Rhinolophus ferrumequinum: one gene and its partner. The protein of the gene in region 2 interacts with the protein of the main gene of each other region in a biochemical or structural test. Links are inferred from orthologs where the notes say so. Each region holds a gene or a part of one and is shown on either strand. Other genes may lie near its edges.

Region 1 (3,749 bases), on a different chromosome or scaffold from region 2:
AAAATATGAGTCAAATTACAAATAATATCTGTATATATGTATGGGTATGTATTTTTCCTGAACCATTGAATTAAAATGAAAACGCCATTCAGGTTTTTACAAATAGGACATTGTTTAAAAAGAGGGTCAATTATTTGGTGTGGCAAATAAACATATGGTCTTTAACATCAGCACTTCACTCTGATTTGCTATCATTTTGCTTTAGTGCTGTCTTACCCCATGACCCAGTCCTTTGGTGAAAGCTGGTCCTCGCTTGTGATCTGTCTTGAAAAACTGATGGGTGAAGTGCTGGGCAAAGAACGCAAACATCAAATTTGTGCCCTGGGGATCAGGGATAAACTGTTTCCTTAGAAGAAATTTTTCCACAATCAATTTTGAATCAGGAAGCTCTTTCTTTCCTGAAAAACGAGAAAGCTAAGAATCCATCTCTATATTCAAGAAAGCAGACAGTGATCTATTATGAACTCAGTTTTAATGAAAAAAATGTGAAAACATTGAGACATTATACCAAAATGCCCATTCACTTTCATGGAACAGTTTACATAGATTCACACTTTCAAAAAAAAAGATCTCCATAGATATGCATAAAGCAAGGAAAAAACGATACTTTTATTAACGAACAAATGATAGTTTAGGGTCAAATTTTCTAAGTAGCAATCCAACCCCCATTGCAATACATCTCTAACTGCTTCCTCTCACTCACCTTTCACGCCCATGGGAGTGGGGCAGTCGTCAGCCACAGGAGGAAGAGCTCTGGTGTAATAGGAGATATTAGAAAAGGCTTCCCAGCTTTTATAGCCATACTGTGCATTGTAGGTTGGCGGGCTGTCAATCAAATGTGATCTGGCTGAAATTTTCAAGGGAAAGAAATTGTTTTATTTGTTCCCATTTGCAAAGCAAATCAATGTTCATTTTTATTGTAAAATGTACAAGGTAGCACCAGAGGTTGAATTGAATTCCAACAATGATACTCTATTTTAAAACAATTGCACTTTAAAGTCTAACTGCCATTTGTACTTAAAAAACAATGATTCTGGAAAGTACATCTTTAGTAAAGTATATATGTGGTACATAAGATATGATGGTCTAGCCATCTTGATTTTTCAACTAACCATCCAAGAAGCTTGGAAGAGGTATACAGATTGTAAGTAGAATTCTGACTGTGAGAAAGGACTTTGTAAACTGGATGAGACTTAAATGTCAGTATTTTTACCATTAAGCTAAAAATCACACTAAAAAGATATATTTAAAGTCATTTTGACAAGGTTGGAAATATGTTTTTAGATTAGGTTTAGCAATCTGGAGTATTATAAAGTACATTTTCCTTTGAGGAAGCTGAAAACCTTAGAAAGAGACTGTACTTACATGTCAACACATACTTCATAATTGCATTTCGCAGGAAGGGAATATTATTGACAATGTTCCAGATTCCCTTGAAGTGGGTAAGTATATAGTGCACTGTGTTAGGAGTGGGTTTCAGGAATAACTTTATTCTTGTCAGAAATTCAGCTGCAATAAGAGGAAAAAAAAAAAAGGAAGGAGAAATTAAGGGGGCCCATTATAAGACACAAATCTGTAAAATGGTAGCGGTACATATACCCCCCTTCCAAATGAGGGCACCCAAGGGCAAACTTACGTGTTGTACAGTTTTCACCATAGAATCCTGTCCGGGTACAGTCACACTTATACTGGTCAAATCCAACACTCATACATACACCTCGGTTTTGACATGGGTTGGAACAGCAAGGATTTCCTACAATAAAAGTAAAGACAGTAAATAAATCATTCTTCAGTGTCTTAATCTTGACTTAAATATTTGTTTTGCTTACTGTGGGTCAATTTTACGATAAGAAATGCAAGAAATGTACAGGTAGTCACGGGAAAACAATTTTTTTAAACCTGTCTCACAGAATGGTTATACGGTAGAAATACCAACTTTCTATTCTAAATAAGGCTAACGGAATATTCATCCTGAGAAATCATGTTGCTAAGCTATTTCTTAGTAACTTTTTTGATGTCCAAATTAGCATTTTTAAGAACCTCAAAGAAGTAGAACTGTCAAAATTCAAATGGATAGATCTAGTACATTAATCAAAATTTAGGGAAAATGACAAAGTTTAAAACAGCTTACTTTTAAAATATCTTGCCTATCTTAAAAAAAGTAACCTGGGTTTTCCTGGGGCAGGAAAGCACTAATGAGGCAATTTAAAACAATTATTTCCACTCAACAACAGTAGGTACACACACACACACACACACACACACACACACACACACACACACACACAAACACATTTCACCATATATTGATCAGATCCTGTATTATTATAACGACAACCTGCAAATTAGTACCACTATTCCTATTTAGCAAATGAGAAAAGTGAGACCCAGACCAGTTAAGTAACTGGCTGGTGGCAAAGCTGGGATATCCCCCTCCAGTAGTCCAAGCTCTTTTCAAAGTCATAGGGCCTTCCGTATCCGGAGAGCATTCAGAGCGAAGGGGACCTCCGGGAGGTCAGAGCGAAAACTTGGCGGGCAGTGCCCTGTGAGCGGCGCCAAGTACCCACCTGCACAGCTGAGCGCCAGGGTGGCGTAGAGCAGCAGCAAGGCGCTGGAGAGCATCTCCGCCGCGGGCGAAGGCGTTGCGCTGTGTGAGCTTCGGGCCGCGGGGCTGGAGGAGGCGCTGGGCGGAGTTCCTGGGCGTACTCCTGACGCTCGCTGCAAGTCCTTTGACAACTGGAAGCTAACGGCGAGAACCTTCCTTTTATGCGTGAAAACTAAGCCCACGTGATGCCATGACTGTTTCTTTCCGCGGTTCCTTACCGCCCCTCCCGCAACTCCCGGCCCCCACTAGAATAATTGCGTAAGACCCGGATGGGGGAAGGATTTTTTTTTTTTTCCCCCAACTGAGAAAATCGGAAACACGGGAAGCTGCTCTCAGTTTCCCCGAGGTAGTGCAAAACGGATTGCCACCCTCCCCACTCCGATCTCCACGTTTTCCGCCCGCAGTTCCTCTGTTCCCGGAGCTCGGGTGTGCGCCTGATTCCTTTCCTTACTCCCCGTCTTTGCCCCAGCTCTTCCCAGAGCCGACTTTCTAGACAATCCCCCTGGGGGAGTGAGGGTGGCGAGGCACTACGCTGCGTCTACGGGAATCGGTGTCCAGAGGTTCCAGAGCGCACGGAGGGAATCCCCTGGAGCGCCGTCCCCGCCGCCTTGTCTGGGTCCCTCGTTCTTTGGAATGCCAAGGAAGGCAGTCAGGACAGACTGGAACAAGCAAAGCCAACAAACGCTGACATGTTTTACACGTGTCATGTATTTCAAACGTATCATGTTTGATTTTTCGTGACGACCTTTAACCTAGTTTATATGCAGCACATACGTATCTTCAATTTTTTTCAATGTTTATTTAGTTGAATGAAATATAGCTATAGTCAGTGTACATATCTGTAACTCCTATTTATAGATAACGTGAGTTTAGAAATAAGAAATACTGTTCTCCACACCACCACCCCGTCCTTGCTTATTAGAGAGGAAGGCGGTAAATTCCTCTCCCAGAACTGCTCCTAAGCGGTCATCCTGTTGTAAGAGACTGTTAGCATGTAAGAGACTGTTAGCATGAGAACTGCTATCTTCAGGTCAGGGTTAACAGCCCCTAGCCTGAAACAACATAATTATAAAATTCCAGGATGTGGGCAGTTGCAGCATGGCGACTAGAAGTCCTGTAGCTTATCTTATACTCCTGGTCTCCT
Region 2 (3,749 bases):
GTGTGTCTGTTGCTGAGATCAGGGGTTCATTTGCCAGGAGAAGAGTGCAGTTGTATGAAAGCCTACAAAACTCAAGTTCGCTAAATTCCAGCTGAACTAACCAGCAGGAGGGGGAGGGGAGACGAGCTATTTCTGACGACCGCTGGAACTCCCACACATGGAGCCCAGAAGACGGTGTGTGTGTGTGTGTGTGTGTGTGTGTGTGTGTGTGTGTGTGTGTGTCAAAGGTGGAGAAGCAAGCACAGGCTGCTTGCCAAAGCAGAGCTGTTTGAGCCCTGACAGCGTCCCCTCGGGGCACATCCCTTCCTCGCTGGCCGCCTCACCTTACCTTGACCACGTCGTCGTTGAGATGCTTGGGGTCGCGGTTGACCAGGTCGATCTCCTTGGTGTGCGCGTCGTACACTTGCTTTTCGTTCATTTCGTCTGCCATGGTCTTGTTGTTGGGCTTGTAGATGTTGCCCTGTTCCCGGATGGGAACAGTGTAGAGATGTCCCTGCAGAGGGCGGACGGCCAGGAGAGGGAGAGTGGCACCGGCGGTGGGAAGAAATGTTCAAAAAGAAAAACAAGAGATCAGAAGTCAGCCGGGAGGCGGAACAAGCCCCAAGGCTCAAAATCGAACGAACCACTTCTACCAGTGGCTCCGCGCGCAGCCAGCTCCTTGGCGCCGCAGCTTTTTAAGAGGATCGGGGAGAGGACACCACACCCCTTCGTACCAGGCAGGGAGCGCCTGCCTCCCCCGCCCGCCGCCAGGGGTCAGGGCAAATCCCGCCGCGCAGTCCACTCTGGCCCCCGCCTAGCGCACGCCCAGCCCACTGTACCCTGCAGAGACCCCGGCAGCGGGGAGGGGGGGGACGGGACCCACCTCTGACTTCTCTCCAGCCCCTCTCCCTCACTCCGAGTGCTTCACCTGCTCCATTTTCCGGTCCTTGGACCCCATTCTCCCTCTCTCCATAATCCTTCCAGCTTCATCCTTAAGATTCAACTTGAACTCCCTGACCCATGGAGTATCCCCATTTCGTTGCTTCCTGCCGCGTCTCCCTAGCACCTGCCCTCATTACCCACCCTCCCTGTGCCCTCTTTGTCCTTCCACAGCTCCTCCAACCCCCGTGGTGCTTACAAGCCGCATACCCGTCTCTGGGCGTAGCCATGTGTCAGATCCCAAAACTTCCCTGGAACGATTATCTCACCTGCACTACTCTCCCGACCCACCCTCAGGTCACTCCCAGGCTGCCGACCGGTGGCTAAACGGCGGCTGCGTCTGGGAAAACGAGGTCTCCACTCCCGGGGGGAGGGAGGTTGGAAGGGGTGGTGGTAGTTGGGGGAAGGGAAGTGCGTCCCTCTCCAAACACCCCTGCCAGGCGCAGAGTTGCGGGAAGAATTCTTGAGGTGGCCTAAGAGCTTTGGAAAGTGCAAACACCGCGCACGCCGTCGCGGGGCCGGGCGGTCCAGGCGCCTGGCGGGGAGTCGCTGGGCCAGTCCTCAGGACTGCGGGTGAATGACCTCCCACCCAGATGCAGCTCTCCGCCTCCCAGCAGGCACGGGCCGGACCGTGGGGGTTCTGCAGGAAGGCAGCACCTGGGACCCCACCCAGAAACGCATCCTGGGTCAGGGAAACCCGACTTCAGGATCCCGAGTCCCCTTTTCCCTCTAGCTTAGCTCCCCCTTACCCCTCATCCCGAGCCCGTTCCCAGGAGGAAAACAGAACATTCCTGCCTCCTCTTCACCTCCCCGCCCAGGCCCATTCCTCAGCAGTGCCAGCGCAAGAGGAGTGCCCCGAAGTGGAGAGAGGGCTGGGGCGAGGAAAGCAGCCGGGGTATTTGGAGTGGGAGATAGCAGACGCAGGCACTCCTGGCGTGCCCGGCCCGGCGCGCACCACCCCAGCCTACCTCGGAGTCTACGTATTTGCCCCCAGACATGCTGGCCCGTAGCTGGATGAAGGCTCTGAGCAGATTTCCCTGGGCTGTGATTTAAGGGAACTGAGGAAGGAAGATCTTGTATTGTATGGGGAAAAAAAAAAGGCGCTGGCGGGGGGCGGTGGCTGGGAGGGAGCCTCCTGGCCGCGGGCCAAGGGCTTGTTCGGCTGGGGGTTGGCTGGGACGTGCGCAGCGCCGGGTCTGGGCACATCCCAGAGGTTCTGGCAGCAGAGGGCGAGAATCGCCCGCCGGGGCCACAGAGCAGTGAGAAAGCGTTTCACTGTCGCTGGGCTGCTTGGGCGGGTATTGTAAACCCAGGGCAACATTTTCCTAGTTAGGAACCGCTGAGAGGAGTCCTGGGGAGAGCGAGTCTTTTCTCAGAGCATCATCCCAGCAGGGGTGGAGAGTGGAGAGAGCCCAGAATAGGCACCCGAGCTTCCACAAGAATCCTGCGCGGTTCTCAGCCGTGTCTTCCTATCGCCCTAAGCCATGTCTGTTCCATCGCTGCCTCAGACACAACTATCACCCGTTTCACAGAGGAAGGGATGAAAAATGGCGCGGAACCTTTAGGTGCATTTCACATCGAAACACTAGGAAGGAATCTGTGTGGGTGCGATGTGGGGTGTGTTTTCGGGGACACTGCTTTACATTTAGTCGTTGTGGATGGAAACTTGGAGGAAGCAAGCATGCAGAATCGAAAGTTTCCCAACGCCTTCTGAAACGTCTCCCAAACGATTTGAAATAAGAAATAAAAATATTAAACTTTTCTATAATTTTATTACTGATCTTTTCTGGAACAAAGGATATTCATGCCAACAGGTCAGGCCATCGTTACAAAACAGGTAAAATATTTACAATTGTAGGAATATTTCATTGGAGCTTCAGGTTTACTAGAGGTGATTTTTTTAAAAAAAATATGCTTGGTTGTGAGCTGAGGGAGAGTTCACTTTTCTACTAATTGATTAGAATTCTAAAAATTGTTAGTAATTAAAATATTTTATCTATTCCTGAATTGGGGGCTTCTTTCTTTACCTTATTATAAAGTAGCACAAGATGAATTACACAACAATCAGTCACTTTTACTTTGGGATTATAGTATATCAGGAAATTCATTATCCAAAAGTGGAAAGGATTTTTTTTACTTAAGTTTCCATATACAATAAAAAGTCAAATTATGACTTGAAATAAAAAACCTGGGAATATACCTAAAGGGACACATGTTACATTTAAAATACTGGCAGCCTAGAAAAGGGAATGTGGGAGGGCACTAAAGGAGGAGGAAAAGGAGAAAGAGGATGGAACCCTTAGAGTTAATTATCTAGTTATAGAGAGGACATGAACATATAAGAACTACAAAAGACAGCCTCTTATTTATAGCAAAAAGGCAATAAATTTTAAGAAAAGAATCAGTTTCATCTACGTAGCTGGAAGCAGGTCACAAATGTTGGCATGAATTTAATTATGCTGGCTAATCATCATGAGAATACCAAAGATTTTCCAAATTTGGTCTTTCTTCATTTTATTTCTGCTAAATTGTATTTCTAAATTCTTTGAACAAATTGTGTGTTAACAAACATGATATGCTAGAAAAGGGTGGTGTCAGGGTCCATGTGTTGTGTAGTGCCCAGTCCACTTCTAATGATTGCTAGAACATTGCTGTTCATCTAAGTCTTCCTTCATAAATGCTGGCTGCAAAGCAGTTGGGGTTATGTTCTATGGAAAAATGTGGAAACCGTTTCCCATCTATTGTTATTCAGTCTTCAGCTGCGATGAGTAATCTTGACTGTGAAAAAAGTCAACAGGAACAGGGAGAAAGCATGTCCTGCATTCCAGCAA

Evidence for each region.
Region 1: the proteins of CAV1 (region 2) and PTGS2 form a complex in vitro, tested with the Homo sapiens proteins (2 studies listed by BioGRID). The link is inferred for Rhinolophus ferrumequinum from reciprocal best matches to the Homo sapiens genes CAV1 and PTGS2.

Annotation. Positions count from the first base shown.
Region 1 is NC_046305.1:17,297,493-17,301,241, forward strand, and holds the start of PTGS2 (prostaglandin G/H synthase 2), read right to left. Parts: upstream 2,727-3,749; 5' UTR 2,623-2,726; coding exon 2,568-2,622; intron 1,754-2,567; coding exon 1,637-1,753; intron 1,510-1,636; coding exon 1,366-1,509; intron 848-1,365; coding exon 704-847; intron 399-703; coding exon 217-398; intron 1-216. UniProt on the Homo sapiens protein: Dual cyclooxygenase and peroxidase in the biosynthesis pathway of prostanoids, a class of C20 oxylipins mainly derived from arachidonate ((5Z,8Z,11Z,14Z)-eicosatetraenoate, AA, C20:4(n-6)), with a particular role in the inflammatory response.
Region 2 is NC_046309.1:26,399,568-26,403,316, forward strand, and holds the start of CAV1 (caveolin-1), read right to left. Parts: upstream 2,192-3,749; 5' UTR 1,917-2,191; coding exon 1,887-1,916; intron 1,321-1,886; exon of another isoform or gene 1,188-1,320; intron 494-1,187; coding exon 329-493; intron 1-328. UniProt on the Homo sapiens protein: May act as a scaffolding protein within caveolar membranes. Forms a stable heterooligomeric complex with CAV2 that targets to lipid rafts and drives caveolae formation. Mediates the recruitment of CAVIN proteins (CAVIN1/2/3/4) to the caveolae.